Coturnix japonica: one gene and its partner. The protein of the gene in region 1 interacts with the protein of each later gene in a biochemical or structural test. Links are inferred from orthologs where the notes say so. Each region holds a gene or a part of one and is shown in the gene's direction. Other genes may lie near its edges. The genes, in order: CARD9 and TRIM62.

What was found.
Region 2: of the proteins of CARD9 (region 1) and TRIM62, one has a biochemical effect on the other in vitro, tested with the Homo sapiens proteins (4 studies listed by BioGRID, with this or other methods). The link is inferred for Coturnix japonica from reciprocal best matches to the Homo sapiens genes CARD9 and TRIM62.

The regions. Positions count from the first base shown.
Region 1 is NC_029532.1:6,407,860-6,410,852, forward strand, and holds the end of CARD9 (caspase recruitment domain-containing protein 9), read left to right. Parts: exon of another isoform or gene 1-149; coding exon 150-195; exon of another isoform or gene 196-1,333; coding exon 1,334-1,404; exon of another isoform or gene 1,405-1,880; coding exon 1,881-1,963; intron 1,964-2,068; exon of another isoform or gene 2,069-2,090; coding exon 2,091-2,187; 3' UTR 2,188-2,239; downstream 2,240-2,993. Other genes in the region: DNLZ (DNL-type zinc finger protein), read left to right, coding at 2,262-2,489, 2,555-2,694. UniProt on the Homo sapiens protein: Adapter protein that plays a key role in innate immune response against fungi by forming signaling complexes downstream of C-type lectin receptors.
Region 2 is NC_029536.1:5,670,772-5,675,371, forward strand, and holds the start of TRIM62 (E3 ubiquitin-protein ligase TRIM62), read left to right. Parts: upstream 1-1,655; 5' UTR 1,656-1,736; intron 1,737-2,307; 5' UTR 2,308-2,334; coding exon 2,335-2,742; intron 2,743-3,438; coding exon 3,439-3,534; intron 3,535-3,635; coding exon 3,636-3,892; intron 3,893-3,959; coding exon 3,960-4,075; intron 4,076-4,156; coding exon 4,157-4,600. UniProt on the Homo sapiens protein: E3 ubiquitin ligase that plays a role in antifungal immunity by mediating 'Lys-27'-linked ubiquitination of CARD9 downstream of C-type lectin receptors; leading to CARD9 activation, followed by activation of NF-kappa-B and MAP kinase p38 pathways.

The DNA.
Region 1 (2,993 bases):
GAATGTTTCCTGTTTTGCTTACAGCAAGATGCAGTGGGGGAAGGTCGGTTATATGCCTGTGTCCTGTGTTCCTGCATTTGTTCCTAGCTATTGTCTGAGAAAGAATATGGAGTACTTCTCATGATCTTAATTTGTTTGTGTCCCAATAGCTTACTCTTCATGCTCACCTAGATGAAGATACACACCTGACTGAAAGTAAGGTTTCTACTGGGGAAAACATACAGCATGGTTCTTGATGGGGTTTCCCAGTGTTCAGAGGGACAGGAACAGACACTTTTAGTGCAGAAGAGGAATCCACTGACTGAGGGTTTGGTCATTTGGGTGAAATAGGAGCAGGGTATGAGAGTTCGTGGAATTAAATGAGACATTTGAGCACTGCCTTCTGAATTGGGCCAGCCAAAATCACCTGGTACACAATGCCTTCAAAAAGCAGCTCCTGGATGCCTCTTCTTCACACAGTCCTCTCGTGTTTGTGGCTGAGCTGAGAATGGAACAAGCATCCTTCCACTCCAGCTCAACCACATGTCTTTCCCCAGAGACATTTCTTTCCTCTCTCTTATGTTGCAGGCTATTTTCACAAAAGCAGAACCATGTAATTAACACTGTCCCTGGTTCAGTTCTTGTGGCAGCCCCAGTGGAAATGATTCAGCAGCACAGAGAAGAGCAAACAGGGTCCTTTAAAGCTTGAGATTCTCCTTTGAAACATGTTCCAAAAGGAAGGAATCAAGCAGAGATCCTCACCTGAAAGAATTAAGCAATCATTCTCTGAGATGGGAGACTTTTCACAGCAGCTGCCACACTGAAACAAAGCCTTTTCTTACCCTACCTCAGCCAAATCAGAATGACATATCACAGTATCTGATCACTGCATTAGGAGTTGAGCTAAAATACGATCTGTTGAGTATCTGAATGTGCACATCTTCCCTGTGGCCCAACACCAACAAACTGTGATTCATGTTTAGTGGGATTTCTTCTTGTTATCTCCATCATTATTCTTTCAGTGACATTAGGCAGAGGTGCTGCTCTGCACTGGTTCATTTTGCTTCTCCACAAGCAGAAATTAGACAGATGGTGTCTGGTGATCCTATGGGGAATTCCATCCAGTCTAAACAAGACTCAGAGGTCACGCAGAATGAGCAGGGTCTTGTGCAATGGTCACAAGATTGAATACTGAATGTTTCAAGGCCTGGGTTTGGCTTGCTGTGGATGCTGTATACTGCTGGGCAGCTCTTACATGACAGCTATTGCCGTGTGATGAACTGGTGGAAGGAGAAGTTACTTCAACATGGCAGCTGTGACTGAGATTGTGATTTGCTTTTCTGTTTTCTCTCAGAAGAATGCTGCAAAGGCGAAAACCAGCAGTTCAGCAATGGAGAAAGCAATCTGCCTGCAGAGTTGCCCACTGTAAGAGCCCACAATGATTCTCTTTGGTCTGAATGGGGTTTGTAATTACTCATGTGCTTGTTAACAATGGATTTATCACAGAATGACCAGGGTTGGAAGGGACCTCAAGGATCACGTAGTTCCAACCCCCCTGCCTAGCAGGGCCACCAAACACACACATTTACTAGATTTAGCAGGCTTCAGGCCCAAGCAGATGCAATGCAGGCTCTACACACATCCCAGGGGCTGGGCTATGGTAGCAACCAGCTCTTCTTAATCATTTTAAGGCACAAGTTTCCATTTTCTCCTCTTAATTTCTTGGAAATAGATTCAGGGCTGCAAACAAACCCAAGATGGGCTCATCATGTAGAGCACCTCAGCCTTGAAGGGCTCCATCTTTACACAGCAGCCGTGTCTAGTGTGATAATAACATTGATCCAAGGCTTTAGAGCAACTTGCTTTGAGGTTTAGAGCAACTTTGCCTTGTTCCATTCCAGTTCGAGGAGTGCAGCTCTGCCCACGAGGAGCTGTCTGAGAAGGAGAGGAGGAGGATGAAGGATTGCTTTGAGCGTTACCGCAGGTCGGGCCCCATTTCCATCCCATTCCCATCCCATTTCCATCCTATTTCCACCCCGTTCCCGTCCCGTTCCCGTCCCTATCCCACACTCGGTTCCATAGGCCTCACTTCCATTCGGTCCCGTTACCAGGAAGCGCGCCCTCCGCAGAGCCCCCGCAGGCCGCCGCCATGAAGCCGACTGGGAGCCCAGCACCGGCAGCGACAACACGGACACGGAGGGCAGCTAGAGCTGGGCCGAACGTCCCGTTACCGGCCCCGTCAATAAACACTGAGCGCTCACAGCGGTGCCGTTACCGTCGGGATGGGGGAGGCGGCCTATGTGGGGCCGACCGCGCAGCCTCAGCGCCGCCTCTTGTGCGCCTGCGCGGCCGCCATGTTGAGGCGCTTGGTGCGGGTGGCAGCGCGGGCCGCGCTCGGCTCCTCAGCGCCTCCACAGCGGCGGCCATTGCCCCGCAGTGTGTGCACCGCACCGCCGGGCAGCGTGGGGCGGCTGCAGCCATCGCATTACCGCCTGGTGTACACCTGCAAGGTGCGGGGATGGGGAGGGGAGCGTCTCCGACGGTCGGTGTTGTGTTGCTAACCCGTGCCTTGCAGGTGTGCCGGCGCCGCTCGGCTCAGAACATCTCCCGCTTGGCCTACAGCCGAGGAGTCGTCATCGTTACGTGCCCAGGGTGTCACAACCATCATATAATCGCTGATAACCTGGGCTGGTTCTCCGACCTGCAGGGCAAGAGGTGCGTGTGTGTGTGGGGGGTGTGTCACATCATCGGCACATCGCCCTTTAAATACGAGGTTTTGCAGTAGCTGTCAAAGCATTCTTACTCCCAGGAGGGGAGTAAACTCTTGGAAAGGGCTGACAATAGCAGGACACGGGGAAATGGTTTTAAGTTAAAAGAGGAAAGATTTAGGTTGGGTGTTAGGGGGAAGTTCTTCACTAGGAGAGTGGTTAGGCCCTGGAACAGGCTGCCCAGGGAGGTTGTGGATGCCCCGTCCTTGGAGGTGTTCAAGACCAGGTTGGACGGGGCCCTGGGCA
Region 2 (4,600 bases), on another chromosome or scaffold:
CAAACTCAGACCCTTAAATTTACCCTAACCCTAAAACTAAGTCTAACCTGAACTCTAACACAGTCTAACACAACCCTAACCCCAACCCTCACTCTAGCTGTAACCCTAACCCTAACTGTAACCCTAACCTGAAAGTAAACCCTAACCAACCTGATCAGCTCTATCCCTAACCAGTCCTGACCCATACTCTAACACTTAACCCATTGCTAAGGGGGAAAACTGAGTCATGGGAAGATAGAGGACAGGGGAAGTGTGGGACACCCAAGTCCAGCCCCAAACCCACAGTGCTGCTGCTGGGTCCAGCCCACACCAGTCAGTGCAAATTGGGGTTTGGGTTAAAGATGGGGTTGGGATTCAGGTTGAGGAGGTGGAGTGAGTGTTGGGTTTGAGGGATGGGGTTAGGGTTGGGCTTAAGGTAAGGATTGGGGTTTGGGTTAGGGTGAGGGGTTGGATTTGGCTTGGATTTAGGGTCAGGATTAGGGTTGAGTTTGGGGTAAGGACTGGGGTTGGTATCACAGCACAGGGGCTGAGGATTGGGGTAGGGCTGAAGTTAGGATAAGAGCTTGGCTTCAGGTTGGGGTTAGGATTGAGATCTGAATAACTGGGTTTGGGTTGGGGTAGAGTTGGGGCTCACGTTGGGGTTGAGGTTGGGGTTATGTGTGTTGTTGTTGATGATGATGATGATGATGATGATGCCAGCCGTGCCGTGCCGCCCCTTCCCCGCTCAGCTGGCGTTCTGACGATTGAATTCCAACTTTCCCCGGTCCCCAGCAGGTCCTGGCAGGGCGAGCAGCCCCGCATTCCTCCGGCAGAAACACGGGCAGAAATAACAAACCCCCGTTGGTCGGGGCTTATTTTCCCCCCTCCTTTTCCAGCCTTCGGGGCCGTCCTCCTGCCTGGGCAGGAACAAAGCGGGCGGTCATTCCCTGCGTGGGGTGGGGGCGGGGGGGCTGAGCGCTGCCATGTTTGCGTTGGCTCCCAGCCAGCCGTGGGGCTGCGTGCTGCCCCCAAACGTCCCCATCCTTCCTCCTGCACAGGGTGGGGGGCACAGGACGGGGAACCCACCCCCAACTCTTCCCATTGTGCCTCCGTGGGGGTCTCTGTCATTGTCTGGGGACGGTGAATTGGGGGCTGTCGCTGTGTTTAGGGGTGATGCTCAACTTGGGGGGGGGGGGGATGTTTTGGTGTAAGATCGGAGCTGCATTGGGGACATTGGTTCTGCTCGGGGGCAGGGCTGGATTTGGAGGCGATGCAGAACTTGGTGCCAGTGTTGGATTTGGAAACACCGCTTCGGGTTGGGGGCAATAGTGAACTTGGGGACAACGCTGAATGCGAGGACAATGCTGAACTGGGGCTCAGCACTGAATGTGTGTGTGTGCAGGGTGATCCCTGTGCTGTTAGATGCCGCCCTACATCCCCATCACTGTGTGTGCCCGCCCCCCCCGCGCCCCTTGTCAGAGATAACAACACGGTCCAGATGGAGGCGGGATGTGGCGCGGCCCCTTTAAGGCCCCCCCCGCCGTGTGGTGGTACGCGCCGCAGGGCCGCGCCGCGCGGGGGACAATGGGGCGGGGCGGTACCACTGTGTGCGCGGGGCGGGGGGAGGCAGGAAGTGCGGCCTGGCCCCGCCCCCCGCTCCTCGCCCACCCCCCGCCCGGCGCGGCGGGGCGCGGTGTGTGCGGCGGCGGCGGGGCCGCTTCCCCGGGCACGGCAACGGGCAGAGGCGGCGGCGGCGGGTGAGGCCTCGAACCCGGGTCCCGAGCGCGGCGGGGCGCGGAGCTGCGGGCGGGATTCGAACCCGTGTCCGTCGGGAGCGGCCTCAGCGCCGGGTGCCCCCGCTGCAGCCCCGCGGGTAGCGGCAGCTCCGGGCCTGCGCCGCAGCACGAGTCCTCCCTATGGCCCGACCCCAGCCCACCCATTGCATCCCGACCCCCAGCAGCACCAACCCCGTACCGCCCTGCTGCCCACCTTCACTGCCCCCACCATCACCCCCATATCACCCTGACCCACGCCCCCACTTATCATCTCGACCCCCAGCATCTCTAATACCAACCAGAGTCCCCAGCTATATCCTCCTCATCCCCAGCATCACCCACATCTACTTCAGCCCCCCCATATCCCCTGACACCCAGTCCCCCTATTACATCCTTCCCCATAGCCCCCTCGTATCACCTTGACCCCCCACCCCCTTACCAACCTGACCCCCATATTACAGCCTCGCCTCATTACAGCCCCGCTGCAGCCCCCCATTCTCATCCTGTCCCCTTTTCCCGCACTCTCACCCCTTCATCCCCCCCTATTTTGCAGCCCAGCCGTCCCACTGCAGCCCCAGCCATGGCCTGCAGCCTGAAGGATGAGCTGCTGTGCTCCATCTGCCTCAGCATCTACCAGGACCCGGTGAGCTTCGGCTGTGAGCACTACTTCTGCCGTCGCTGCATCACGGAGCACTGGGTGCGCCAGGAGCCTCAGGGCACCCGTGACTGCCCCGAGTGCCGCCGCACCTTCACAGAGCCCACGTTGGCCCCCAGCCTGAAACTGGCCAACATCGTGGAGCGCTACAGCGCCTTCCCCCTGGATGCCATCCTGGGGGCTCAGCGCAGCCCCTTCCCCTGCAAGGACCATGAGAAGGTGAAGCTCTTCTGCCTCACCGACCGCACCGTTGTCTGCTTCTTCTGCGATGAGCCGGCTGTGCACGAGCAGCACCAGGTCACCAATGTGGATGATGCCTTCGATGAGCTGCAGGTGGGCATCTGTCTGTCTGTTTGTCCCTGAACTTCCATCCCCCCCTCACTCCCGGGGTTGTGGTGTCTGTGGGATGTTCTGTTCATCCAGCTGTGTGCACCGTGCAGCACAGTGTCCATCTGTCCACATTCAGGACAGCCAGAGCTCCCTCTGCCTGTTTGCACGTGGCTCTGGGGTGCTGCTGCCCATGCAATCCCCTTGTCTATCCCAACAAGCGGAGTGCGATCCTCTGTCTATCTGTCCATCCGCACTGTGTGGTCACCCACCCACCCACCCATTTGTCTGTTCCTCCATCTGTGTGTGGCTCTGCTGGGCTGCTCCCTGGGGATCCCCAAGCAACCCCAAGACAGACCCTCTCCTGCCCCACACCGGACCCCACCTCCCACAATAGCACCAAGTCTCATCCCCAGACTTGCTGTGCCAGGGCAGCTTTGTGCCATGGACTGACCCTCTTGGGCTCCGATCACCACAGTGTCAGCTTAGACTCACGATAGATATCTATGGGTCTGCCTCACAGCTCTCCCAGCACTTCAGTGTCGTGCTGCTGGTGGCTGGGAGCACAGCCTGAACGTGGGGCAGGCACAAAGCTATGCACTTTCCCCACACCCCCGTGGAACATTGCTGCTGTGGGGTGGGGAAATGGGCAGTGCAGCGAGGCCGGGGCTGAGCACGGGGTCAGAGCACTCTGTGTTGCAGCGGGAGCTGAAGGAGCAGCTGCAGGGTCTGCAGGAGAGCGAGCGAGGCCACACCGAGGCTCTGCACCTCCTCAAGAGGCAGCTGGCTGACACCAAGGTAGGAGCAAGGCTGAATCCCTCCCCGTGTCCCCTCCCCGTGCGCTCTGCCAGGATGCTGATGGTCCCGCTGTGGCCTGGCCCTGCCCCACACCTCCTCAGTCCTCAGCCAAAAGCCTGAGGGCCACCATCGCGGAGGCCTTCGAGCGGCTGCACCGTCTGCTGCGGGAACGGCAGAAGGCGATGCTGGAGGAGCTGGAGGCCGACACAGCGCGGACGCTGACCGACATCGAGCAGAAGATCCAGCGCTACAGCCAGCAGCTGCGCAAGGTGCAGGAGGGCAGCCAGATCCTGCAGGAGCGTCTGGCTGAGGCCGACAAACATGCCTTCCTGGCTGGTGTTGCATCTCTGTCTGAGAGGTGGGTGGGCGCAGAGGGGCTGGGGGCTGCCCGTGGAGCTCTGTGCCCATCGCTGCCCGTCCTGCAGGTTGAAGGGGAAGATCCATGAGACCAACCTGACCTACGAGGACTTCCCCACCTCCAAGTACATGGGGCCGCTGCAGTACACCATCTGGAAGTCGCTCTTCCAGGACATCCACCCCGGTAAGCATGAGACTGGCAGGGAGGCGGGAGGGGGACGTGGTGCCCCCTGTGCTGGGGTTACTGACACCCACCCTTCTGCAGTGCCCGCTGCATTGACGCTGGACCCCGGCACGGCCCACCAGCGCCTCATCCTCTCTGACGACTGCACCATCGTGGCCTACGGCAACCTGCACCCGCAGCCGCTGCAGGACTCGCCGCGCCGCTTTGACGTGGAGGTGTCGGTGCTGGGCACGCAGGCGTTCGGCGGCGGAGTGCACTACTGGGAGGTGGTGGTGTCCGAGAAGACGCAGTGGATGATCGGGTTGGCACACGAGGCCGTCACCCGCAAGGGCAGCATCCAGATCCAGCCCAGTCGGGGCTTCTACTGCATCGTCATGCACGACGGGAACCAATACAGCGCCTGCACCGAGCCCTGGACGCGGCTCAACGTCAAGAGCAAGCTGGAGAAAGTGGGCGTCTTCCTGGACTATGACAAGGGGCTGCTCATCTTCTACAATGCCGACGACATGTCCTGGCTCTACACCT